Macaca fascicularis: one gene and its partners. The protein of the gene in region 1 interacts with the protein of each later gene in a pairwise test. Links are inferred from orthologs where the notes say so. Each region holds a gene or a part of one and is shown in the gene's direction. Other genes may lie near its edges.

Region 1 (4,111 bases):
AAATAAAGTATGTTCTCTGTAGATCATGTCAAGGGTGACACCAATCCCATCCATATCTACTGGATGAAAGCAAGATGTGCTTTTCTCAAAATTTACACTAGGCAAAAAAAAAAAAAAAAAGGCAGTTTTATTTTAACCAGATGTGAACAAATCAAACCCAATATTTTCAAGTATTTTTAGTGCCACATGATGTCATCCAATTTTATATTTTCTACTGGGGGATAATGTGTATTTTTAAAATTGTGAAGCCACTTTCCATGTATGTACTTAAGTCTTACGATAAATTACAATAAACAAATTACAACAGCACAGGACATGATCTTGGCTGTTTATGTCAACAGCCAAGAAAGACATTTAGGTTTCAGTAGGAAATGGAATTAGACACATGTGAAATGTCTTCCGCTGGCATTCAAGGTAGTCCTCATTTCAGTGACGATGGTCCTGGTCCAAACAGGTCCAGGGCAAGCATTACTCTGCCTATGCCCTCCTAGTACAGCGCAGCCTGTGGACTCCACAAAGACTGAAGGCAGTCTTAGGCTAGTTATTCAGGAAACCCCAGCTTTAAACAACCAGAGCCTTCCTTTTTTGTTGTAACAAGATCACACATCCCCATTGCTACTACCCAGATAGTGCCGGGTGTCCCAGGATCTTGGCACTGCTCTTGTCCTCTGGAACTGGCAAGGGAATGAAGATGCCTCTAAACTGACCAAGACTTACTTCCTCACGCTTTTCTCTGGGGCAGCATCAGGCAAGCAGTCATACCCTGGAACAAGAGTGTGGTCCTCAATGGCTTTGCTGAGTGAACTTCTCCGAGTCATCTCGCCTGGGAAAGAGATTTCTCAAAGATCATTTAAAGCTTTCCAGAGGGCAACAGCAAGACAGTCGTGAGCCAAGGTTACCATAAATGCTTCCACAACCCCTGATTTCATTTCGGAAATAAGGAAAGAAGTAGTCAGCACTGCAGGCGTTGCTGACTCCTCATCCAGCAGCCTCCCACCCCCAATCCCTCAACAATTAAGATACAATAAAAGTAAAGTTAATATTACTGTAGGGCCATTGGTACATTGAAACGTCGTTGAATTAAAAAGTCTTTATTTCAGCCCAAGATCTTCTCCATCCACCCACACTTGAGCACAGAACATTCCAGGCAGGCAAAGCCACCCGTGCCCTCCTCTCCTTGGCCACGTCCTCAGGGGTGGGCGAGCTTCGGGGAGAGGGGTGGGGGTGACGACTCCGTGCCAACGCAAAATACTCTGCCAAAAGGCTTCTCAGACACGAGTTTCCCAGGGCCATGCCCACCTTCCGTTCCCCGCCTTCCTGAGTCTCTTCTCCCGGTTTATGCTGGAACCCTGGAATGGTCTGGGGACCAATGAGATGGCAGCGGTTGACGCTTGGATCACGGTGAGGGGGCGATTTCCAGGGGGAGAGGCCGCGAAGCAAGGAAGGGGGGGCAGGAGGAGAAAAGTGGGAAGCGGGGACAAAAAGTAGGCGGGGAGGAGAGGAGAGCCCCAGTTGGGGAAAAGCAACGGCAGTCGAGGTAAAAAGAGCGAAAGGTAAAGAAAGAGCAGGTTCGTGAACAGGAGCCGGCGGGCAGGCCGGGGGATCCCGGGCGAGGAAGCGGCGAGGGAGGGGCGTGGGCCGGGCCGGGGGCCCAGCGGGGAGGGTCACTGTCAGTCAGGCTGAGCTGGGCTCGCTGGCCGGGGGGCGGCCGCAGGGGCGCAGCGCAGCCTGAGGGCGCGGCAGCCCCAGCAGCCTCGGCAGTGGCAGTGGTGGCCGCGCCCCCGTCCCCGGCCGGGCGCCCGCGCTGCGTTCCGCGTACCCCAGCGCCGGTTCCGGCCGGCGGCCGCCCAGGCTGCCCCCGCCCGCGCGCGCCCGTTGGGGGGCCCAGGGAGCTGCGCCCGCGGCCGGGCCGCATTGTGACGTAGCGGGGCCGCGGCAGCGCCTCCGCCGCTCGCCTGCTCCCGCCGAGGCTGTTCTGCTCCCGCCGCCGCAGTCCGTCCGTCGGTCTGTCAGTCCCTTCGCGCTCCTGAGCCGCCGGCGCGCGTGGCGCCCCGGGTGAGTCCAGGTCCCAAACGGACCCCGCGGGGAGGCGGGGGGCGAGGAGCTGGCGGCTCAGCCTTTCCAAGTTTGCACCAGGCGACCCTGGCGGGTGTCGCCCCGTGCTCCCCAAGCCCGGGGCCCCCTTTGTGCCGCGAGTCTCGGCTGCTTGGGACAGCAGAGGCGTCTCTGCAGAAAGGGTTTGGGGGGAGGTCTCTATAGTAACAGTGGTGGCGGCAGCGGCTGTTTTACTGGGGAAAGGGGGAAACAACCCCCGCCTCGGTTTCCAAAGGATTGTTCTTTTCATTTGCCTGCCTCATGTGGTTCTTATTCTTGCTGCCACCCGGGATCGTATCGCAGGCAGGGATGGGCAGTGCCGCGGCTCGGAAGAGCTGAGGTAAGGAGGGGCGAAGTAATAGTAATAGCGACGGTACTAACAACGGTAGCAATAGCTGTAGAAGAGGGACGTCTGGTGTTGCTGCCGCCCCTCGCTCATCAGCACGGGCTCCCCGACTGCCCTGTCCAGCCCGGGCTCCGTCAGCCTCCCTCTAATGCTGTCCTGCGTCCCAGGCTGGTCCGCGTCAATTTCAGCGGGGACTGTTTCTCTCTTGGCCTTCTCTCTTGGCGATGACTTTCATCTGCAGGTGGTAAGTAGGGTGAACCCAATTTTGGCTATTGTCAAAGGCCACATTTTGTTTATTTCATTTTTACGAAAAGAAAAGAGGGAAAATTATGAGCCATTACTGGCAGCCATACAGTTTCCACAGGAAATACTAGCATTCTTTGAGGAACACGCTACTGCTTGCAGCGAAGAAAGTCTTAGGAAACAAAAAGGCAACAGCATTGTTGCTCATTTTCAATGGACCTCTAGGAGGGGGGAAACGTGTTGTTTTTTCCTGTGGTAACGTTGCTTTCCTTGGGAAAGTTAATTAAGGAAGCATTACTGTCGGTGCCCCTTTTTCACTTGCTGGAGGCAGGGTCCGATTCCTCTTGGCTGTTACTGACAAGTGCCCATCAAAGAGCCCAGAGGAAGAGAGAACTGCTGCAGGACAGTCTCGCCACACACCACGTGCCGTGGAGCCTGGCCAGGGTGCAGTTTGCAAAATGAAATAAGGGCTGTCTGGGGAGGTTTATGAGGATTACATGTGTGCAAAGTATGTCAGTTCTCCAAGGTGTCACTCTAAACACGTAATTTTCAAGCACTACTTTCGTTGCTGAATCTGCAGGAAGGGAAAAACCTAGTTTTCTTTTATGGAGCAGACATCTCAATTGGGAATGGGTTGAAATCTGTATTTCATTTGTACATATTGAAAATTTAAAAGGCAAAGAACAAGGTGTAGGAAAGCAGTATGCTAATGTGTACACATCTGGGAGAGAAAGTCTGTTGGCTGTTTCTAATGCATCTCAATGTTAAATTACATTCAGCATGGTTAGAGTACAAGGAGACACCTTTAAGGAGTCCTCAAGACTATTTGAAAGGTGCTGTATTTTGGTACTGATCGCGGAAGTCTCTCTAGAAAGGGAGTATTAACTGAGGATTACCCATAACTAAATATGTATGCATTAACAGGTCTGGAATCAGAAAGTAGAAGATAGTGCTTCTCTTAAGAATCTTTTGGACATCTCAGTTAGAATAAAATACAGAATGGGATTTTGAAAAGAAGGGGTATAATTTTGAGTATAAATTTCATTTTCTCCATAGCAAGCGTTTCATGACGAAAGGTTACAGATAGTAGATTTGAAATGATGCTGCATTCATGAATTTGACTGTTACCATTTGTTGATATCCAAAAGGAAGTGACTAAAGCAAATGCATTTCTCTGTCTACTTTGTCACAACTTTGCTAATTCCAGACAGTTGTTCTGGTGCAGGTGTACAGTGGAAATGCAAGCCAAGAAACTGTGTGTGCTATTGTTTTGGAAGAAATTGTAGCAGTACTTTACTGCTCTTAAGGGAAACCCACACAAACATCTAATACAAACAAATGATCCTTGATATTATCAGAAAAAGCCTGGAGCTGTTTTTCTTGCCAGATGTAAGGCATGTCTTGTCAAAAGAGGAAATCTCCCAAGGA
Region 2 (3,958 bases), on another chromosome or scaffold:
CCGCCTCCCAGGTTCAAGTGATTCTCCTGCCTCAGCCTCCCCAATAGCTGAGATTACAGGCGGCTGCCATCATGCCCAGCTAACTTTTTGTATTTTTAGAGAGATGGGGTTTCACCATGTTGGCCAGGCTGGTCTTGAACTCCTGACCTCAAACGATCCTCCCACCTCAGCCTCCCAAAGCGCTGGAATTACAGGCGTGAGCCACTGCACCCAGCCATGTCTGCTCATATAGTAATTCTTTTTACGTGCACACCCTGCAATATTACTGTGCTACTCAAAAGCTAATTATGGGGCCAGGCTTGTTGGCTCACGCCTGTAACCCCCCCAGGACTTTGGGAGGTCGAGGCCAGTGGATCACTTGAGGTTAGGAGTTCAAGACCAGCCGGGCCAATATGGCGAAACCCCACCTCTGCTAAACACACAAAAACCAGGCGCAGTGGCGCGCGCCTGCAATCCCAGCTACTCCAGAGGCTGAGGCAGGAGAACCCCTTGAACCTGGGAAGCGAATGTTGCAGTGAGCCAAAGTCGCGCCACTGCACTCCAGCTTAGGCGACAAAGCAAAACTCTGTCTCAAAAAAAATAAATAAATAAAAGCTAATTATGGGACTTGTAAGAAAATATTAATTTATCATGCCCCAAGGACCAAAGTGCGCTGGAAGTTCAGCCGTAGCTGTCTTTGAGTGTGGTCAGCCGCCTGGGGGCCACGGAGACCCACGAAAAAGGGGGTCGTACGTGAATGCGAGGTCCAGGTCTTGCACCAGTCTGTTCATATCTCTTGAGCCTCAGTTTCCTTTCCTGCACTTCGAGCAGTTAACCCTCAGTGCCTAGCAGCCGGTTATTAATATGTTCACAACACCCTCCACCCAGGGCAGGGGTGGGAACGGCTGTTCTGCTTTTGAAAGAGAAAAACAACTTCCACAGTTCTTCCGGCCCCACATCCTCTGAACCGGGCTGGGCGCCTCCTCTGGGGCGTAACCAGTTGGACGCGCCCCCGACAGACCCCGCCCCCAGCCCGCCGCCAAGGCCCCGCCCCCCGGGCCGCGGCGCTTCACGTCCAGCGGGGGCGCTAGAGCGCGGGGGACCGGGCGGGGCGGGCCCGGGAGGCCCGGAGGCGGGGCCGCGGGCCGGGGGCGGACTGGGGCGGGCGGAAGGAGAGCCAGGCCGGAAGGAGGCTGCCGGAGGGCGGGAGGCAGGAGCGGGCCCGGAGCTGCTGGGCTGGAGCGGCGGCGCCGCCATGTCCGATAGCGAGAAGCTCAACCTTGACTCGATCATCGGGCGCCTGCTAGAAGGTTGGTCGCGGCGGGGGAGGCCTGCGTCCGCCGCTCCCGGGCCCCCTGCCGGGCCCGGAAGTGGCGCGCGGGCGGGCCCCCGGGGCCAGCTTAGACTGGGCGGGGACGGGCCGCGAGGTTCGGTGGCCGCAGCCGCCCCCCCGCGGACGCGCCTGAGAGGTCCTGGGCCCGCTCCGACGCGCGGAGCAGCCCCCTCTCCCGGGCCGGGGGCGCACGGGTTGCCTGGGTTCTTGAGGCGAGGGAGAAACCCGGGAAGCCCGGTCCAGGAAGGGGTCCTGCGCTGTGAGGTGTTTGGGTGGCAGCCCCCTGCGCACGACAGTCGCCTCCCGAGGCGCTGAGGGTAGTTGGGGGCTTCCCTTGGGAGGCTTGAGGCCGAGGTCCCGGGAGGCTCAGCAGCAACAGCTGCCTGCGGGCAAGGAGCAGCCGAGGAGGCCTAGGCGCCCCCGGAGGTATCCATGGGGCCACCCGTGTCGCCCACCCTCCTCCTGTCAGGGTCCCGGGTCTTGACACCCCATTGCGCCCCCAGTGCAGGGCTCGCGGCCTGGCAAGAATGTACAGCTGACAGAGAACGAGATCCGCGGCCTGTGCCTGAAATCCCGGGAGATTTTCCTGAGCCAGCCCATTCTTCTGGAGCTGGAGGCACCCCTCAAGATCTGCGGTGAGCCCCCCGACCCAGGTCCCCTTGCTTTCCTGAAAGTGGCACTGGCCCCCACAGAGTTCCTGGAGTCCTCCTCCCTTGAGCCCAGTCCTGGTCCTGGGTTCAGGTCTAGACCCTGCATCTAGCTTACCCGATTCCCTGGGTCACAGGTGATATACACGGCCAGTACTATGACCTTCTGCGACTATTTGAGTATGGCGGTTTCCCTCCGGAGAGCAACTACCTCTTTCTGGGGGACTATGTGGACAGGGGCAAGCAGTCCTTGGAGACCATCTGCCTGCTGCTGGCCTATAAGATCAAGTACCCCGAGAACTTCTTCCTGCTCCGTGGGAACCACGAGTGCGCCAGCATCAACCGCATCTACGGTTTCTACGATGAGTGTGAGTGGTCTGAGCGTCTGGGGCTGCCCGGGTCCTGAACCACACTCCTTGTCATTCAGTGGGACCTTCACATTGGCCTGATATCTGACAGACACTTGCTAAGACTGTGCACTCCACGAAGGCAGGGCCCAGGTCCGTTCTTGTGCCTGCCCTGCCCCTCCTGGCATGGGGTCTGGGGAATGGTTGCTGACTGAAGGACTGTCCGTATTCTAGTGCTTTCCCCCAGGGCCCTGCCTGGTGACGTTCCCTCTACATTTGCTACTAAGCATTTAGGATGTTTGCAGATGAGCTCTGCTGTCCAGAAGCTGAGATAAACCAGACCTGTACTTGGCCCGGCTCGTGGGCCGGGGCGTGCAAGGAGTGCCAACCCTGAGGCTGGTCCAGATTGGAACTCAGTTTCCAGTGGACTCGGGTGCTTTAGAATTACTTCTGGTGGGAGGCTGAGGCGGGAAGATCACTTGGACTCAGAAGCTCCAAGTTACAGTGAGCTATGATCTTGCCAATGCACTCCAGCCTGGGTGACTGAACAAGACCCTGTTTCTTTACTTTTTTGAGACGGAGTTTCGCTCTTGTTGCCCAGGCTGGAGTGCAGTGGTGTGATCTCAGTTCACCACAACCTCCATCTCCCGGGTTCAAGCGATTCTCCTGCCTCAGCCTCCCGAGTAGCTGGGATTACAGGCATGCGACACCACGCCTGGCTAATTTTTTTGTATTTTAGTAGAGACAGGGTTTCTCCATGTTGGTCAGGCTGGTCTTGAACTTCTGACCTCAGGTGATCTGCCTGCTTCAGCCTCCCAAAGTGCTGGGATTACAGGTGTGAGCCACCATGCCCTGCCCAGATCCTGTTTGTTTAAATTACAAATTAAAATAAAAAGTAACTAGAATTACTCCTGGAAGGCTGACAGGCGGCAGGGGTGGGGGTGGTTTGCATTGGTGCCTGACTCTCTCCCATCTGCGGCTGAATAGCCCAGAGACCCCGGCTAAGGGTGGAGCAGGCAGACCCCTCACAGCTACCTCCCTCTGGGCAGGCAAGAGACGCTACAACATCAAACTGTGGAAAACGTTCACTGACTGCTTCAACTGCCTGCCCATTGCGGCCATAGTGGACGAAAAGATCTTTTGCTGCCACGGAGGTGAGCTCTCCTTAGTTGTCATCTGGGAAGTCACTCCTTTCAGGAAGTGTCTCCCATACCCCCCTGTGCTGGGCTGCACTCACTTCCTTGATGTGCATTCTACATGGGGCGGGCTTGTCTCCTTTCTCCCAGGAGCTCTGTGCTCCGGAGGCCAGGGGCGCCTTTGTGCCTGTTTGGGAACTTGAAAAAGCTGAGGGGAAGGGGATGGCTTCTGCCTGCCTGGGCACCCAGGAGACCAGTGGAGGGACCAGGAGGGTGGTGGAAAAGTGAGGCTCACTGGCCAAGGCTTCCTGGAGGAAGGATGTCCTTGTTTGAGGAAGTGACCTTCCTTCTGGCCCTCCAGGCCTCTCCCCGGACCTGCAGTCCATGGAGCAGATTCGGCGGATCATGCGGCCCACAGACGTGCCTGACCAGGGCCTGCTGTGTGACCTGCTCTGGTCTGACCCTGACAAGGACGTGCAGGGCTGGGGCGAGAACGACCGTGGCGTCTCTTTTACT
Region 3 (4,262 bases), on another chromosome or scaffold:
CAACTCTGTCTCCTTGAGCTGGGTTTTATAAGCATACGGTAATGACACATGATCTGATTAGATTTTGCGATGAGGTGATGCTGGGATGCTCATCTGACTGGACCCTGCCATGGGGTGATGCCAGGGCTTGATCTGATTGCATTCTGGATCTCACCATGCAGTGCCCATCTCTTAATTCAGTCCCTGCTTTGATTTGAGCACTCAGGTTCCGCCCCGGTTGCATGCTCGGCTCATCTGGGCATCCTCAGCTTACGTGTGAAACCTTCCTTCTGGGAGTCCATGCAACTGAAAAACAACTCACAACTTGGGTATATAAAAGGTGAATCAGATTGGTCTGATGCGGTTATACAGTTATTTAATACCTCTTTGTCAGAAGTCAAAATTTCCACAGATTTAGATTAAAGATCTATTGGCTTTTATTGATTCACGAATCAGGATGGCATCTTCTCTAAAAATTTAGAAACGGTACTCCAATGAGCTGGGCAGAGGAGGTGGGTTTTATAGGTAGAAAAGGCCTAAAGAAAGCAGAAACAGGGAACGAAAAGCGGATTGGTCACTGCAAGGTTACAGCAGTCCCCTCTTACCCACACACAGGTGGTATGTCCCAAGACCCACAGTAGATGCCTGAAACCTCGGATAGTACTGCACCCATGTATAGATATATACACACACACACTATATATATACACACATATACATATACACACACACAAATATATATATACACACACACACTGCATTTTTCCTATACATGCATACATACCTGCGATAAAGTTTAATTTGTTAGGCACAGTAAGAGATTAACAGCAATAACTGATAATAAAATAGAAGCGTCACTGTTGAGCACAGCCTTGGGAATGGGGCCTTGAAAGCAGGCAGAGCTCCCTAGGTTTTGTAGTCCCTAGTGGCCGTGGACAGCATGGGGGAGGAAATTCCCGGGAAGCAGCCTAATTTCACCCCAGGGAAGCCCCTCGTGGGATTGTGGAGGGCGGGGTGAAAAGCCGCTGGTTTAGGGAGGGGGTCCAGCCTAGGCTGAGGGATGAGATGTGGGTTGGGACGGTCCCGACCCTTCCCCCAGCCTCTTTCAAGGATTTTGGAGAAACAAAGCCAGGATCCATTTCCTCTTGATGGCTGGCAAACTGGGCCCGGGCGGGAGGTCCTGGAAGCCTGAGCCTGGGGCGGCGTCGGACACCAACTCCCAGGTCCTCGCCCCACACGGCCACATTCTCGCCCAGCCCCGCCTCCATTTAGCTCCCCCGTCGCGGCTCCGCCCCGCGGTAACCACGCCCACACGACCGTATCCCCGCCCACGACTGGCTTCGCCTTGGCCCCGCCCACAACCCTCCTTCCAAGCGGCGGCTACGGCGGCGGCGGCGGCGGCGGCGGCGGCAGCAGCGGTGGCGGGGGCGGGGCTGGCCTCACCCGGAATGAAAACAAACGGCGGCCGCCGGCGCATCCGGGCACTCTGTTGGTCGCAGCGGGCGCGGCGTGGCGCAGGTGAGGACCCGGCGGCCGAGTGTCCCCGACCCCAGTCTCAGCAGCGCTGCTCGGCGCCCCGGTTCCCGGTCCGACTGGGCACCTCTCCTGACGGGGGTGGAGCGGCCGCGGGGCTGGGGTCAGCGGCCATGCGTGAAGCTGGGCCGGGGCCGGGAGCGGCGGGTCGGGCTTCGGGACGCGCTGGCCCTTCGGGGCCCTTTGGTTTGCGCTGAGTTAGGCACAGGTGTGGGGTATTTAAAAGAAAATGTTGAGTGTATTGATTTGGGGAGAGAAAGGAATAAATATATCTATAAAAAATTAGCCAAATGCTATACTTGAATCGTAACACTTACTCCGAGTATACCATTTGGGATTTATTTGCAATCAAAGCCAGATTTTCTTTGCTATTTAATGACGAGACACTTGATTTTCTCGAACCTTGACGACCTGATTCTATTACTCTCACCTCCTTCCCTTTTATTTTTAATCAAGAATCTTTCATTTTCCTACATATTTTCGTAAGAAAAAATGAATGTGTCTTGACTAGATATAGTTGTGCTTCAACTGTATATAATGTATAGTTGAAAAACTGTGGCTAAAGGTAGCATTGATTGATTCATTACAAAAGTGAAAGTGAAATTTTTAAAGGATCGTTATAACGTTTCACTTTCTGTTTGGAGCAGGGAGTGGTTTTAATGAGTTTCGTCTTTTCTTGGTTACAATGTGAAACATTGTATGGCATGCATGAAACTTTTTCAGTTCTCATTTCAGTTAAAATTAAAAGCTGACTTATTAAACTTAAAATATGTCACCACTTACTCTGTTGTCTGTAACTGAAGTTTCCTAAGTTTCAAGATAGTGGTTTAATTTTTTTTAACATTAAATCCTATTAGGTGTAGACCCTGGACCTGTTGTTTGCTCCCTGGAGTGTCTGACACGCACTAGGTTTGTAATACTCCTTTGTCCTTCTGTCAAGTGGTGGCTTGGATGGCATCTTTTTAAAAATTTTTATTTGTTTATTTTTTTAGTAGAGACGGGGTTTCACCATGTTGAGCAGGCTGGTCTTGAACTCCTGACCTCAGGTGATCCGCTGGCCTCGGCCTCCCAAGTGCTGGGATTACAGGCGTGAGCCACTGCACCTGGCCGTGGATGGCGTCTTTGAGTACCGCATCAGCCTTTCAAATTGCTTGGCTCCAGTAACCAACCTGTGAAATTACTGTCCCCCAGTGGGGAAACAGTAGGGTTGCTGTGATATTTTATTCAGAATTTCTGAAGATTCATGAGTAGTATGTAAAGTAGTCTTTTAAGTTATTGGTGTTTGAAAAGCTAACGCTTTAAGTACTAATATGCTTTGCTGTGATAAGCTGTTTGTCAGTGCTTGAAAATGGAGGATTCTCCCATGGGCCACCCAGGTTGCACACATCAACTTCCTTGGCTGTGTTATTCCTTCCTCTCTTTTCTCCTCTCTGTCCTGATTAACATAATTCTTGTCCCCTGCACTGACATCAAATAGATTTGAACTTTCTTTAAACAAATATTTGTTTATGAAATACACAAGCTACCAAACTTGATTTCAAAGTTGCGTGAATTGGGTTTGGGGGGATGTGGAATACTGGCCCTCAATAGAAAAAAAGAAATTTATCTCAATAATATTAACTCATATTTTTTCCACTCTCTAGAATTGTCTTCATCATTCAGGGACTAATAACATTTTCTTTACTTATTGCTTGTGTGATTTGGTAAACCTTAAAGCGCTGTGCTACCCCTGCCAGCTGCCTCACATCTCAGCTGCCTCACATGCATCTTTGAAGTGCTGTGCTAGTGTGGGATAAGTAGACAGCTCCATCGTGGCATGTACTTCTCTGGGAGAGAAAAGTTACATACCTGAAACAGGCAAGCAGCAAGGGACTCCACGACAGAAGTTCAGAGTCCAGTATTGTGGGTGGAAGTTACGCTCAATTTGATGCTGCCTGATTTTGTGTCTTTGCCTGAGTCATGGCACAAACTCAGGGCCCTGGTTTTCTCAGCTGTAAAATGATCCAATCAGTGTTAGATTTGAATAGTAGATGTGCTGTTAGGCTGTTAATCAGAAAATATGCAACATTTTTCTAGTATTGTAATCTTTTTAATTTAAAAAATTCTGACATAGAAAATATTTATATATTTATTATTATTTTGAGACGGAGTCTCACTCTGTTGCCCAGGCTGGAGTGCAGTGGTGCCATCTCGGCTCACTACAACCTCTGCCTCCTGGATTCAAGCGATTCTCCTGCCTCAGCCTCCTGAGTAGCTGGGTTTACAGGTGCCTGCCACCACGCCCGGCTAATTGTTCATTTTTTGTTTGTTTGTTTGTTTGTTTTAGTAGAGATGGGATTTCACCATGTTGGCCAGGCTGATCTCGAGCTCCTGATCTCAACTCCTGAACTCAGCCTCCCAAAGTGCTGGGATTACAGGTCTGAGCTACCACGCCCACCTGAAAATATTTATTATTGATAGTTTACAGTTCAAGCAAGCTTTTCTTTATATTTAACTACCAGGATGATTGGCCTTTTGTTTTATGTGAAACTAGCCAAAGTATGAGAGAATTTACAAGCTCACACCTGTAATCCCAGCATTTTGAGAGACCAAGGTGGTGGATCACTTGAGGTCAGGAATTTGAGACCAGCCTGGCCAACATGGCGAAATCCCATCTCTACTAAAAATATGAAAATTAGCTGGGTAGGCGTGGTAGTGCACACCTGTAATCCCAGTGACTAGGGAGGCTGATGCAGGAGAATGGCTTGAAC

Evidence for each region. The genes of interacting proteins can lie anywhere in the genome.
Region 2: the proteins of SNCAIP (region 1) and PPP1CA interact in a two-hybrid assay, tested with the Homo sapiens proteins (2 studies listed by BioGRID and IntAct). The link is inferred for Macaca fascicularis from reciprocal best matches to the Homo sapiens genes SNCAIP and PPP1CA.
Region 3: the proteins of SNCAIP (region 1) and NUB1 interact in a two-hybrid assay, tested with the Homo sapiens proteins (2 studies listed by BioGRID). The link is inferred for Macaca fascicularis from reciprocal best matches to the Homo sapiens genes SNCAIP and NUB1.

The regions. Positions count from the first base shown.
Region 1 is NC_088380.1:128,907,391-128,911,501, forward strand, and holds the start of SNCAIP (synphilin-1), read left to right. Parts: upstream 1-1,311; 5' UTR 1,312-1,396; coding exon of another isoform or gene 1,397-2,344; exon of another isoform or gene 2,345-2,679; intron 2,680-4,111. Other genes in the region: uncharacterized protein, read right to left, coding at 1,397-2,344. UniProt on the Homo sapiens protein: Isoform 2 inhibits the ubiquitin ligase activity of SIAH1 and inhibits proteasomal degradation of target proteins. Isoform 2 inhibits autoubiquitination and proteasomal degradation of SIAH1, and thereby increases cellular levels of SIAH.
Region 2 is NC_088388.1:6,974,742-6,978,699, forward strand, and holds the start of PPP1CA (serine/threonine-protein phosphatase PP1-alpha catalytic subunit), read left to right. Parts: upstream 1-1,158; 5' UTR 1,159-1,234; coding exon 1,235-1,289; intron 1,290-1,815; coding exon 1,816-1,947; intron 1,948-2,096; coding exon 2,097-2,327; intron 2,328-3,355; coding exon 3,356-3,460; intron 3,461-3,803; coding exon 3,804-3,958. UniProt on the Homo sapiens protein: Protein phosphatase that associates with over 200 regulatory proteins to form highly specific holoenzymes which dephosphorylate hundreds of biological targets.
Region 3 is NC_088377.1:192,622,784-192,627,045, forward strand, and holds the start of NUB1 (NEDD8 ultimate buster 1), read left to right. Parts: upstream 1-1,462; 5' UTR 1,463-1,720; intron 1,721-2,369; 5' UTR 2,370-2,421; intron 2,422-4,262. UniProt on the Homo sapiens protein: Specific down-regulator of the NEDD8 conjugation system. Recruits NEDD8, UBD, and their conjugates to the proteasome for degradation. Isoform 1 promotes the degradation of NEDD8 more efficiently than isoform 2.